Schizosaccharomyces pombe: one gene and its partner. The protein of the gene in region 2 purifies or fractionates together with the protein of the main gene of each other region. This does not show direct contact. Each region holds a gene or a part of one and is shown on either strand. Other genes may lie near its edges.

Region 1 (7,565 bases), on a different chromosome or scaffold from region 2:
AAGATTGTTTGTCCGTCTTATGGAAATCAGAAACTTAACTATTCCTTTGGCATCGGGGATGACCACTAGGTTCACTTATACAATCTCTGGTAAGCACATTCAAGTACCATGGAACGCCTTACACTCTACTACTAAAATTGAAAATGAGTATACTTTTGATGAAAGTATTAGTTCTTCAATTGTATGTACGCTCCGTGCGGCTTACGATCCACCTAAGGTTCGCACTCGTTCTACACTTGGAAAAGTATTTTCAACAAATAAGAGAAAGTCTATGACTACCGACCCCGTTTCAGAAGCACTTCATGGATTTGTTTCTGAAGATGGAACTTTCGGCGAAGTTACCATTAACACTGATTCTGTAAGCCGAACCGCACTAGGCCGTTGTCAATCTATGGTTCTACCAATCATGAACAAATGGACTGTTGATCCGGCAGCTAAAGATGTCAAGCCTCTCCCTCGAAAAGTAGGAGAACTCGAAATCCACGTATTTTTCTTACCAGCGCTTCCTGTCTCTCTGAAAGAACTTCCCGCTTCAATCGAGTCTGCCATGTATGACTTAAAGCTTGCTGAATGGGATAGAACTTTATTGTGTGATGGTTATCTATGTCAACAAGGTGGGGATTGCCCTTATTGGCGTCGTCGCTATTTTCAATTAATAGGATCAAAGTTAGTAGCTTTTCAACAATTCTCTAAAGTTCGCAGAGCAACGATTGATTTGTCTGAAGCCACACATATCGTGGATGACAACCATTATAGTGATGAAGAAGAACTAGAAGGGTATCTGTATTTCGAATCGGGTTTCCGTATCATTTTCAGTAATGGGGACTACATCGATTTTTACGCTGAAACCGTCGGCGAAAAAGATGAGTGGATGTCTACACTTCGTCAGCATTTGGGGCAATGTTCAATGGTTCACAAAAATTGGACCAAATCATTTCTTTCGCTGAGTTTTTAAATTGACCATTTGCTTCGACCTCACTTTTTCTATTTAAATCACATTTGGTCTTTATCTTCTCCTTTATCTATATCGTCTTGCATTTTTCATTGGTTTTGTTGTTTCCCTCGCATAATACATAATGTTCATTTTATCTACCATCGAGAAGCTAGATTCGGTTGAAATGAGCTCGTTTTATATAAGCTGTTAAAAATCGGATAGCAATTACTTACTACTCCCCATGTATATTTATACTTCAGTTGCAAAATACTTCATTTTTGAAAGTTTCCCTTGATCCGAAGAAACGTTGTCAAAATAAGTTGTCTCAAAACGTTTATCTTGGCTTTGTAAATAAATCAAATTCCTTAAAATACTCTAGCTTGGCGTTGTCGAGTGAATTTATTAAGTCGTAAGCTTGCCATTTGAGAAACTTCAAAAAATAAAAATTCCACAATAATTTAATTACATTATTCTGTAAATAATTAATACCGTAATTGCTATATAGTTCAAATACCATTTTTAGCTGTTTCGCAATATCTAAAACGTATATGAGATCACTTTTTTTCATTGTCTAGCGTTTTTGTACTTCAGTTAATAACTGTTTGAATTAATAGTTTCGTTCATATTTTGCTGTCTTTTGAAATTTGGTGGTACTTTACGGTGTTACCCCCAACACTTAATTAAATGCTTAGCGGGGGATACATAGCAACTGAAATAAAGCACGCGGCGTCCGTCACCAACGTTTCACATAATTGAGTTTACAAATTTTCTATATTAAGGTGCCATAAAAAGTATGGTCGCTAAGTATTCAAACTTCGTTGAAATTAAATATTTTATAAAGTCTGTAAATGCGATATAATAAGGACTCAGAATGGAATTAACAAGAGAGAAAGTGTAAGGATACTATTTTTTTTCCTATGAAACTTATACAAACTAATACGTTTATTTTACAGTCTTTTGTTAACATTTTTGCGAATGCAATATTCTCATATACTTCCTGACTCAATCGAAAATCGAGTTATATCTACTGAGGCCCCGGAATGGGAATTGGACAAATCATTGCAAGACTTGTTGATTCATGATTATGATTATTCTAAAACTTCGTTTTCTTCAAGTCCCCCGATTGTCGCTAATGACACTGTATCCAATGTCCGAAAGCCGAGTGATACTAAACAAGTAAATGGTGCTGGGGGTCAAGTTAATCATTCTCGAGCTGAAGATTCTGATTATGCTACTTCTGACTTATCCGAATCTTCAGATGTGGGTGATGACGATAACTCGTGTATATTTTCTTTTAGCAAAGTCCCAATGCAGAAGGATGTTGCAAGTATAAAAGAAGAGGAAAGACTGGACCCCAAAATTTCCACATTAAATAATATTGATGCTATCGCAAATCTTAAGCTTACCAACATGGTAGAATCCTCGCAGGCAGTGAATTTAACCTCGTCCAAACAGTCTTCCATAAACCAGCAAAGCAGTGTTTCTACGGATTATGATGATCTACGGTCGATTTCTGAGGAATCATTTCATTTAAGTCAAGGAGAAATTCCTCTTACTTTTCCAATGAATTCTTCCTTAACTGACACTGAAGCTGATGCAGTTGTTGCGGTTGATGCTCTTTTTCCTGGTAAGCAACGCGGAACACACAATACAGTCAATAAAGCAAGATCTGTTTCGAACGCAAAGGCTCCTACATCTGCTCTTCGTGCATTACTTGAACATAAAGAAAACAGTAGCCAGAATGGGCCATTGGCTGAAAATTTTGCTACTTTTTCTGGACATGCAGAATCAAATGCCCTCCGTTTAAACATTTATTTTCCTTCGAGCGAAAGTCCTTCAAAGCCCTTATTTGTAGAACTCCGAAAGAATGTTTTGGTCTCTGAGGCTATCGGTTATATTTTACTTCAATACGTTAACCAGCAACTCGTGCCCCCAATAGAAGATGAGGCTCAAAATCCGAATTATTGGAATTTACGTATTGTTGAAGATGACGGGGAGCTAGATGAAGATTTTCCCGCTTTGGACCGTGTAGGTCCATTATCAAAATTTGGTTTTGACGCATTTGCTTTAGTTAAAGCCACTCCTGCCCAAATAAAGGAAAATCAAGCTGCCTACCCGTTTAAATCGAAGCATCCAACATCAATTCCTGAAGCCAATAACAAAACGCATATTCGGCATACTAGTTCAACTTCAAGTCAATCACAAAAGCAAGCTCAGGATGTCAAAGATACACTTAATACTTCTCATGTCGTACAGGTACGACTTCCCCCATACGGGGATAATGCTCGATTTTGCAATATTGAAATATCAAAAACTACTAGATTGGCTATGGTGTTGAACCAGGTGTGTTGGATGAAGCAATTGGAGCGATTTAAGTATACTCTGCGAGTTGCTGGATCTGATACTGTTTTACCACTTGATAAAACATTTAGTTCACTAGACGGAAATCCAACTCTAGAACTTGTTAAAAAGAAGGTACGCGATAAAAAAGGAAGTACCCAACAATTGCCAACCTCCTCACCACAAAATTCCGTTTATGGATCTATTAAGAAAGATGCACAATCTTCAACATACAATGCAACAGATATTATGTCGAGCAATACCTATCAAGAATTTCTTGTATGGAAACGACAACCTGTTTCATTTATGGGAAGACATGAGCGTCTACTAGCTATTGATGGAGAATACGTTCACATAATGCCGTCTGAATCCAAAAATATATTTGAAACGCCTAAGACGTCCAGTATACATGCTGGATCGATTATTTTATGCAAGCAGTCTAAAAAATCACCATGTAATTTTAAAATGATTGTGTCCAAGAATAGGGAAACTAAGCGGTAAGAAATTTTTTAACGCTAATAAGCTAACGAGTTCAGGTATGATTTTGAAGTTTTGTCCGCCTTGGAAGCTGCCATTATAGTTAGCAGGATACGTGCACTGATGAATACTGTTAAAAAAATAAATTAACATTTATTTATTACAAAAAGATTCTATGAATACATAGGTATAAACACCTTTGTTTTTTGGTATCACATTGCTCTCTCCCCTATGTCATTTTTATTAAACATCTTCAAAATCAGCTTCATCTTCATCGTCTTCATCGTCCTCATTAAATCCATTAATAATAACATTCTTTTTACTTTCTTGCATTTCCGTATCACCATCAGTAATACCATTTGTAGAAACAATAGGTGGTAATGAATTGTTTTCTTCTATCGATTTTGTTCTTTTATTTTGGATATCACTATCTGAATTTAGGTTCTCGGTTTTACGCTTGACCGACCCATAATCAGTACTTTTGTTTTGAAGAGAGGTAGCCGTCGTAACGTCTAAGAAGTCATCATCCTCCTCATCATCTACGTTTTCACTGTCCATAAACTCGCTTTCCTCTTTTTGCTTTGCACGAAGTGTTGCGTAATAAGCATCTAAGGCGCTCTTTTCAGAAGTAATATCTGTTTTAGTGTCTTGAACCTCATTAACAGTTTCAGTTCTAAAACTATGAAGTGCGGCATCTTTAGCTCCAGCACGAGTAATGGAGCCAGAAATTGTTGATGTTGCATGCCATTCGGGAAGAATGTTTTGAGCAGCTTTGACTTGCTTGTCGCAATTCCTTTCACGCTTTTCATCAGTCTCTTTATCAGCAGAGAAATCAACTGTAATAGATGGCGAAGAGGTGGAAAGACGGACGTCTGAATTACTTTTTGACAAGTTTTGTTGCGACAAATTTTGGGTGTCTAACGAAACAGGAACCGCATGTTCTAAAGCAGATTGGAAATTGTTTTGTGGTACGACAATTTCATCCACCCTTTTCAATGCATCGATTATACCATTAACTTGTCCCATCAGTTTTCCTAGCCTTTTCTGACTAGACATCATTTCTGCACTCTCCTCATCGTCTTTGAGTTCGGTTCCACAAACGTTACAAGCAAAAGTTCCCTCGTTGGTCACCAAAGACAAAACGTCAAGGCTAGAAAACTTTTTGTTGCAAAATGGACAAACATAGCCTTTAGAATCGAAATCCTGCTAAGTTAGTGAAAGTGACGATAATAAGAGATTCGTAAAAGTAGTGGGTAAAACACTAAGCAAAAAGAAGGAAACAATATGGTAAACCTTTTATGAAAAAAGGCCCAATTAAAAAAGGAACTTACATTTCGCATTCGATCTTCTACTGTTTTCACTAATTGGTGCATACGCCATTTAATGCTGTCAATCGTAGAACAGAAATCGATATAGAAATAGGTTGTATGATATTGCCTTTGTTGGCCTTCCTTCATTTCCGTCCTACTTTGACTGAAAGGTTAGCAGCTGGTCATGGAATTGCCTTCACGTACATTGCCAATAAACGATCCTCGCGCAATTTTCCAGCAATAAACCGACATTCTTTTATAGGGATACCCATTAACAGCGCTGTTTGCTCATCTGTAAGTCTACCAAAGGTTAAAATCGTTCTGATCTTGTGAAGCACGTACGCTGAATGTCGCAAAATCGCATCCATAAATATTATATGTCTAGTTTCGTAAAACGCCCTCATAATCATTTTTATAAGTCTCTGTACTATTTCTGGAGCATTGGACATAGTAGATAAATGATACGATAAATCGAAGGAAGGTTTTTGCAGCGAATAATAAAGGGTGATGGAGTAGTGGAGAATGTACCACAAAAAGACACTGCTTAAGGCGTTAACTAATGACTCTTTAAATGCCTATAGTCATGAAGACTGTTAATTTAGAAAACATCTTTTAAAATGACATTCAAACATAATAGTCTTAAAAGTGGTCCATTGCCTTAAATTACTATAAATTTATTCACAATGTCCGTTGTTCAATAAATTCTTCGGTGAACTAGCTAAAACTTGATACGTATTAAAATTCATGCACAATTAGGATAGTATCATTGTTTAACATAAAATCATTAATGAGACGTTATTTGAAAAGTTATATACAAAATTATCTAATGTAGAAAGGTAAAGTACTAGAAAGAAATCGAAAGTCATCAGCATAAAGACCCATCTGCCTCTAGTGTATAATCATAATGAAAGCATACATGTTGATTAGCATGTTCCACACTTTTGGAAGATTCTTCAATCGTAAGCTTTAATTTCTGATATGCAGCATCCTTGTAACAAATAAGAATAGTCATTTCATCTAACCAATGTAAAAGTACAGGGTTAGATTGATAAAGCTGAATTCTCCAATGTGCACGTTTTCCACTATCAATTAACTTAAGTAATTTTCGTTTCCAGTGAGTTTGACGGGGTTCGGTTGTAGAAGATTTAAATTCACTTGCTTCCTCATAAGGTTCTTCAGACGTTAATTGACGAATTGTATTAGGACTTCCGTGAAGAGAAAATATATGTAAAGTTTCTTTCTTACTTGCACAAGCCAACAATAATTCATCGGGAGAAAACGCTAATTGACAAACTGCCGTGTGTTGATAGCCACGACGAAATTCGCAAATTTTTTCTCCAGTTTCTGAATTCCAAATACGAATTAAAGTACCGTTTGTTGAAGAGGATGCTATTTTTGAACCAGTTTTGGATATACCCAAACATGATATCTCACTATCATGTGCAGGCACTATGCTAGTGTTCATATGATCCTTAAAAAGAAATAATATTTGCAGCTGGCCGACCTTTCTAGAAGGAAAAACGATAGCAGTTTTCTCAACAGTAGTAACCATAGCGCATAAGCCTACATTTCAAAAGTCAGCTTCGACTATGCTAAGCAAAGAATGTCTTACCTTTTGGATTCTGGGTATCAAGGCATCTTTGTAGTTTTAAGTTATTTCCGAATTGGTACAAAAATAGCTTTGATGCGGTTGCAATTGCTAATCTTAGATATGTTAGTTGTTAATAAGACGACAAGCAATATAAAAGAGAAGAACGTACAATTTCCCATCGAAACATATTCCTTTTATTTCAAAATTCAATTCAAGCTCTTTTACCGGCCTCTCTTTCACATCATCCCAAACAATAAGCTGTAAACAAGCTTAGCTAAAAGAAAACAAAGCATTACTCAAACTTACCTTATTTGGTGCGTATTTTGGATTTCCACCGCCGCCTACTAAGAGTAAAACATTGCTTCTAAAAAGCATTTTGACTATTGAAAGACCACCGTCATTGAACTCTAGACAATTGTAAATATTCAAATAAGAGATCTGCATATTGCAAAACTTACGTCTTTGAGCGCGCAGCTTTAGAGGGTTAATTTGAAAGATTTTATAGCCTGTATCTAGCGCAACAGACATGCATGAGGCATCTTGATTTAATGATACAGTATTAATAGTTGACATTCCAATTTGTGGGGTTTATGCATTATGCAAAACTACTTTAGATTGTTCTCGGTGAATTCGGTAAATTACACACCGTCAATTATACAATTCATCACTTTCTTTAGAAAACACAACCTTTTTACTAGGCATAATAATGTATTAGTTCAACAACAGCTATAATGGAAAAGCAAGTTTGGATAAAAAAAAAAGTGTAAATGTGGGCATATAATCATTAAGTCATTAATGTTTAGGATCGCATATACTGCGCAAGATTGTGCATGCGATCTATGATTTGAGGAAACAGAGCACTGACAGAATCATTAATTAATTGTTCAAAATATTTGATGGCATCTGATTCAGA
Region 2 (6,247 bases):
CAAATCGGCACTGCCTCCCCATCGTCTAATCTTACCTTACAAAAAATCCTTCACACATAATCAAGTGAAAAAAATCTCCCATCTTTTTTGGATCCCTTTTTTTTTCTTCTTCGAAAAAACTTTTGTCTGTTTCTTATAGACGCCTCTTGCCTTTTTTCTTGTTCTTGATTCCATCGTAATTTATTCTCTTTGATAGGATCGCTATACTTTTTTTTTCTCTTTTCTTATTTTTTTTTTTTTAAATTGTGCTATTTCATTTCTCTACAATTACTTCCTAACGTTTTTTAATTTCTTTTTCTTTTTTATCCTTTCATATCTTATCGCCTATTTCATCTATTGCGATCGCTAAAATTGCAAAGGTAAAATCATTCTACCACTTTCAACTTTATCTATTTATTTATTGACTCCCTCCTCCCAAAAAGTAATATTTGTGTCTTTTGTCGCATTACTCGACAACATTCTAATTGCTGACACTTTTTTTGACAACTGTTTTTTTTTTTAAATTTGCCTTTGTAAAACTTTCAAACTTTTACTCATCCTATCACTGATTATTTCCTAAAAAGGTTGTTTTATGCTCAAAAAGTTTGGTTCTTATTACCTCGTCTCCCTAACTATACCTATATTGTACGTTATTATCGTGTCCTTTACCTCACCGCCATTGGACTCGTGTTATCGTTTATACCAATAAAGCTAGTAACAACAACCTAGTGGATATATGCTGTGACTTAACGCTCGTCTTCTATTCTTATTTCCCTTGCCAAAAAAAATTTGTTTTTATGCATAAATTTTTTTTTTCTTTTGTAAATTATATTCTCTGTTACCTCTAATAATTTCTTTTCCCTAATTCTTCATTGCATGCATTCATTATCATGTCTACAACGCCATTGTCCATTTCTAGGGCAAAAAAATACAAAACAGTTTTCAAGGGTGCCGCCATTTTAACTACGTTTGCTGCCCTTTACATCGTTACCTCTCCTTCCACTGGCAAGAGGTTGGTGAAAAACGCCTCCATCAAAGGCCTTTACAATGTTTCGGGTAACGATTGTTTCCTCAATTGTGTTTTGCAATCCCTAGCAAGTCAAGAATCATTATTGGAAATCCTAAAACTCCGTTGTTCTTCCTCTACCTTATACGCTACCCTTTATGAACTTCTGCAAAAATTAAATAGTGGCCCCGGTAATCCAATCACTCCCGGTTCCTTCCTCAATTCATTAGAGATTGCCACTAATAAAAAACTTGTTCGTTCCATTCAACAAGATGCACAAGAGTTTCTACAACATCTAGTGGAAACTTTGGAACTTCAAAAACCTCACACTTACAAATGGTCGAAGGTACTCTCCTTTCCTGTAGATTCGCCATTCATAGGAACTATGGAGCAAAAGGTACAATGTTGTCAATGCCTTGCCATTAGTATTAGTTATTCTACTGCCACATCGATACAGCTTTGTCTACCTCCGGAGTACAGTGGAAATTCTAACGTTTCCTTGCTCTCTTTAATGGAAGCCGATCGCGAACAGCACATCTCTGACTATAAATGTGACTCTTGCTTCAAATCCTCCCCAAAACATTCCAAAACTTCATGCATTCGTACCGTTGATTGGAAAAATCCTCCTACGATTTTGCAAATTCAACTTGAGAGAACATCATATACCTGCCAAGGTTTAACCAGAAATAATGTTTCTATCTCATTTCCTAGCAAACTTATCCTAAAAAACAAACATCATTATATTTTACGATCCTTAATCACCCATTCCGGAAGTGTTACTTATGGTCATTATCTTTGCTATAGACTTCAAGATGACATTTGGTGGAAGGCTAATGATTCTTTAATTACTAAATCATCTCTCAATGAAGCTCTCAGTCAAACTCGTTCAGCTTGTCTTTTGTTTTACGAAATGGAATCTCCTCTTGCGCTTGATTAGCGCATATATGCTAGTTAATCGTATACGTTTTTGTACCTTAATAAAAAATTCTTGATATTTCTCCTAATGATTCCGACTGATGTCACCCTTTATAAACTGTTGAAAGCTTCAAATTATAACCTGTTGTTTTGTAGCTAAAGCATTCAATACTAATATTTTGCAAAACTTGTGTATGAAAATATATGTATGTATGTATCCACCGTATCTGTCCATAAAATCGGTTTTCTTGACTTTAAGATTTTCAAGTGGACGATTTTTTATAGGCATGGTTAAAGTACACATGGCACTTTCAAACCGTCGCCAAATGACTTATAATTTACTAAAAAAAATTTTAGATATACTCATCATGTACAATTCACAGTTTTTAATGCATCAAATATCCAAAATGTTATTATTGTCATGGGTTATCCATTTAACCCCAGGACCTTCTAATTTCTCGAATTAAGCATAAGGACCTGCATATTACACCATTTTTAAGCCATTTCTCAAATTTTAAAAGTTATAATTCCGTTTTTCTCTTTTCATAGTCTGAAAACTCTAAAACTTAGCGTGCTTCGAACTGAACCATTCTCTTGGTTCTCATTTTGTACATAACACGATGCCCACACTCTCGACAACGAATAACTTCTTTCGCTTGGATTGTATTACGCGCTCCGCAATCTGATGGTCAGTCTTTTATCATATACTCATTTAATTCTACTCAATGATCATACCCGCACATAAATAAATCATAGTGGCTGGTCTGGGGGGATTGAAAGCGGTACCGCCAGTGGAGGTTGGATGATTCATTTTGTAAACTTTTTTAGTGTATTTGAGTCTAGTTAAATCCTGTGATTTTACTTCCTCACTTGAACTTTCTAATTGTGGTGGTGAGTAGTAGCGCGCAAATTTTTACTACCATACTATTCTCAATATTAACGCTTCAAAAAAAATTGGGAAGCTAATCTTATAATACATTAATGAGTTAAAAGTTCTCATTTAAAGTACTTCAAGTACATTTCCATTTATTGGATATATAAACTTCAAATATAATTTCGTATCTAATTTTGACGTTCTTTTAAATTTAACCTTTATTAAATCTAGCAAAAGAATAAAGGGCTGGATACATAATTTTAAATTTAAATCGATAAATAACTAGATTGTTTAATTTATATTTCATAACAATTATGTGTACGTGTGAGGATAAATACAATAGCTCAAAAATAATGTATTCCCCGAGTTCTCCAATTTTTAGTGTATAAATATACGATTTCTTTGTCTTGAAATTAGTCCTGGTAATTAGTTATATAAAGCATTCAGAAACACTGTATGCATTAAAGGGTAATTCCAATTGAAATAAGTGCCTTTTTTTGCAGAACTTTTATCGAGTAATATTAATTTTCCTTTCATTTTAAAAAAATAGTTTTGACTTCTAACCGCTTTTAGAAATTTAGAGGTTCCAGTAATAGAGAAATCAAGTATGAAACAACTTTAACGTTTATACTATTTCCTAATAAGCGATACATACATTTTTCGGTTACATTAGACTTTGACCATTCGAGGCTTTCCGGGAATCCCATTAACCTGGCGACTTCTCTGGCGGTAAAATACCGAAGTTGTAAAGCCATCCGGTTCCTCTCAAATTGCTCGTGCGTATTTTCATGATCTGACATCTGCAAAATTGAGCCTGCACCTTGTACTAAATGTGTATATCCCCGTGTAAAGCAACAGCAGGAAGAGCTATCTGGCTTAACTATATCAAACTGATGGCCCCATTTATTTAACACAGACTCTAGTACCATATATGAAGACCAATCTCTTTCTATCTCCAAATAATCTCTTATTCTTTTTACTTCGCCTTCTTTTTGCGCTACCTCGCTAAATTGAAAAACATCATCAATACTCCATTCTCCTTTGAAATTGAGCCTAGCCAATCCATACCATCTACTGCGAGAATTAGGAATGTTGAACTGGTTTGGACTCAAAATACCTTCAATTAGGTTGTAACCACAATTCCTCAAAACTTTCCTGCACTCTTCAGCTGCCTTGCTCTCCTCAAAACCCTGAACATTCTCAATTAGAATGTACTCAGGCAAATTATTTACATGAGGAAGCACATTTAAAATATTTAGAAATGCTTGGGAACGAGGATCAAGAATATCTTTACGGTTTCCTATTCTAGTAAAAGGTTGACAACTGGGACTCATAGTCCATAATTTACAGTCAAATGCATCAAAATCCTTGGCCGTTAAAGTTGAAATATCCATCTATAAGTATTAATATAGTTATCGAGTAAATCCTTGAAACATACGTGTTTAGCAAGTTTTCCATGATTGAGGTTATAAATTTCATTTGCCTGTGGGTTGATATCTATTGCACACACAATATCAGCCGGTATATTTGCCAGGTTCAATGCATAGTGCATACCTCCAATACCAGAATATAGCTCCAGGACCCGTAATCTTTTTGTACTAAGCATTGAATGTAACCGAGCATGCAACACTCGGTAATCGTTTAGTGAGGGTTACAAAAGACCTACCTGCATTAGATTTTTTGCTTGGATTTGTTAAGCTTGAAAAGTCATGAGCATTTCGGGCCTTTTCAAAAACGATAAAATGTTTTTTAGTATTAAAAGTAATTAATATACAACATGATGACTTAAACAAAACTGTACGTCTTTTTGAAGCTAACTAAATGAGATCTTTTAAAAGTTTGTCCATTATTGTGAAACATAAATTCATTATGATTATATACAACCAAATCGCCTTTAAAACTAATTTTCCTTTTCCACTCTTTTACCGCTTATGTCGTTTTTGCGTCTTTTGCAATTCTTCTATATTTTCTGGCTTGAAATAATGGGGGCTTATTTCCAAGAGCCACTCGGGTTGTATTTCAGTAATTTGTCTGCAATACTCCTTAGTTGTCAAAACCAATTCAAAGTAAATGATGACTTTTGGCTTTTTCTCAGCTACAGAAGAACTAGGGTGAATATAAACGGTTTGATTACTTTTAACAGTGCGATAAGAATCCCCACTACGATCCAAGCGTGCAGCATTAGAAAAATAACCAGCTGTGATAGCTTTCTTAATAGGATCAAGGGACTCTGAAGAATTAGTTACCAATTCAATTTCCACCCGTTCACAGAGATTGGCAAGTTGATCACGAACATCTCGAGCTCGACATAAACTCTTATACTGTAAAAAGTTTTCACGGGCCCAATTGTACGAAAAGTCAGTATCTACCCATTCATTCCAAATATGAAGAAGAGTTAAATGATCACCACCAGGTTGGGTAAAGTTCGCTCTAGCTTTATCCGCTTCCATTATTTTGTCTTTTGGTCTATAGAATAAAGAGGAAGCCTCCCCTAACATAGAAACAATTGATAACACTTCTTCAACACATCCATACTTTGAAGATGCAATCAAAGATTTAGAAAGCATAGGATCTGTAGGAAACTCTGCCATCTGCCTGCCGAGCTTAGTCAATTCTCCTCTATTGTTTAAGGCACCAAGCGCATACAATAACTCTAATGAACGCATCAACGTTTCAGGTGGTGGAGCATCCATGAAGTCGAAATCTAAAAGATTATTAATTCCTAGGGATTTAAGCAAGAGAACAATATTTGTCAAATTTGTTCTTTGAATTTCAGGAGATGTTACCATATCCAGTTCATTGTTATATGTCCGACGCGTATATAAACGGAAGCACTTTCCAGGTCCTACTCGACCAGCACGGCCGGCACGCTGATCAGCAGAAGCACGGGAGCAAGGCACAGATACTAAGCTTTCCATACCAGTCCTTGGATTATACATGTTTTGTTTGACAAATCCAGAATCAATCACAAAATTCACTCCGTCAATTGTTATAGAAGTTTCAGCAATATTGGTTGCTAATACAACTTTGCGGGCACCAGGGGGTGTAGGATCAAAAATTTTAGCTTGCAATTCAGAAGGCAGATTGGCATAAATCGGACATAAAATTATTTCCGGAATTCTTTTTCCTAGTATCCGACAAAGTTCTTGCATGTTTTCGGACATTAATTCAATTTCATCTTGGCCCGTTAAAAAAACTAAAATATCACCAGCAGGCTGGGTAGTATGTATTTGAAGAATGGTTGTAATAGCCGCTTGTATATAATTTGCTTCAGGTTGCGGGGTGTAATAAATATCGACTGGATATCTTCTGCCAGGAACATAGAACACTGGAGCTTCATCAAAGTAAGCCGAAAATTTTTCGGCATCTATAGTAGCACTCGAAATTAGAACCTTTAAATCTGGACGAAATCTAGCAATATCCTTTACAAGTCCAAATAAAATGTCTGTATGAAGCGTTCTTTCATGGGCTTC

Evidence for each region.
Region 1: the proteins of rpc10 (region 2) and tfa1 purify together in Schizosaccharomyces pombe (affinity purification with western blotting, with the first as the bait; one study listed by BioGRID). This does not show direct contact.

What each region holds. Positions count from the first base shown.
Region 1 is NC_003424.3:4,742,529-4,750,093, reverse strand, and holds tfa1 (transcription factor TFIIE subunit Tfa1), read right to left. Parts: upstream 5,566-7,565; 5' UTR 5,511-5,565; coding exon 5,404-5,510; exon of another isoform or gene 5,362-5,403; coding exon 5,266-5,361; exon of another isoform or gene 5,225-5,265; coding exon 5,083-5,224; exon of another isoform or gene 4,955-5,082; coding exon 3,995-4,954; 3' UTR 3,902-3,994; downstream 1-3,901. Other genes in the region: mid2 (septin ring organizing protein), read left to right, coding at 1-955; MAP kinase-interacting protein Sin1, read left to right, coding at 1,806-1,828, 1,888-3,771, 3,811-3,901; WD repeat-containing protein Atg1803, read right to left, coding at 5,927-6,624, 6,674-6,765, 6,822-6,910, 6,959-7,059, 7,111-7,225; phosphatidylinositol 3-kinase Pik3, read right to left, coding at 7,452-7,565. UniProt on the Schizosaccharomyces pombe protein: Recruits TFIIH to the initiation complex and stimulates the RNA polymerase II C-terminal domain kinase and DNA-dependent ATPase activities of TFIIH. Both TFIIH and TFIIE are required for promoter clearance by RNA polymerase.
Region 2 is NC_003423.3:1,672,199-1,678,445, reverse strand, and holds rpc10 (DNA-directed RNA polymerase subunit Rpc10), read right to left. Parts: upstream 2,808-6,247; 5' UTR 2,712-2,807; coding exon 2,636-2,711; exon of another isoform or gene 2,583-2,635; coding exon 2,467-2,582; 3' UTR 2,258-2,466; downstream 1-2,257. Other genes in the region: ubiquitin hydrolase Ubp11, read left to right, coding at 870-1,922; pmt1 (DNA methyltransferase), read right to left, coding at 3,344-4,168, 4,213-4,380; ATP-dependent RNA helicase Cdc28, read right to left, coding at 4,697-6,247. UniProt on the Schizosaccharomyces pombe protein: DNA-dependent RNA polymerase catalyzes the transcription of DNA into RNA using the four ribonucleoside triphosphates as substrates.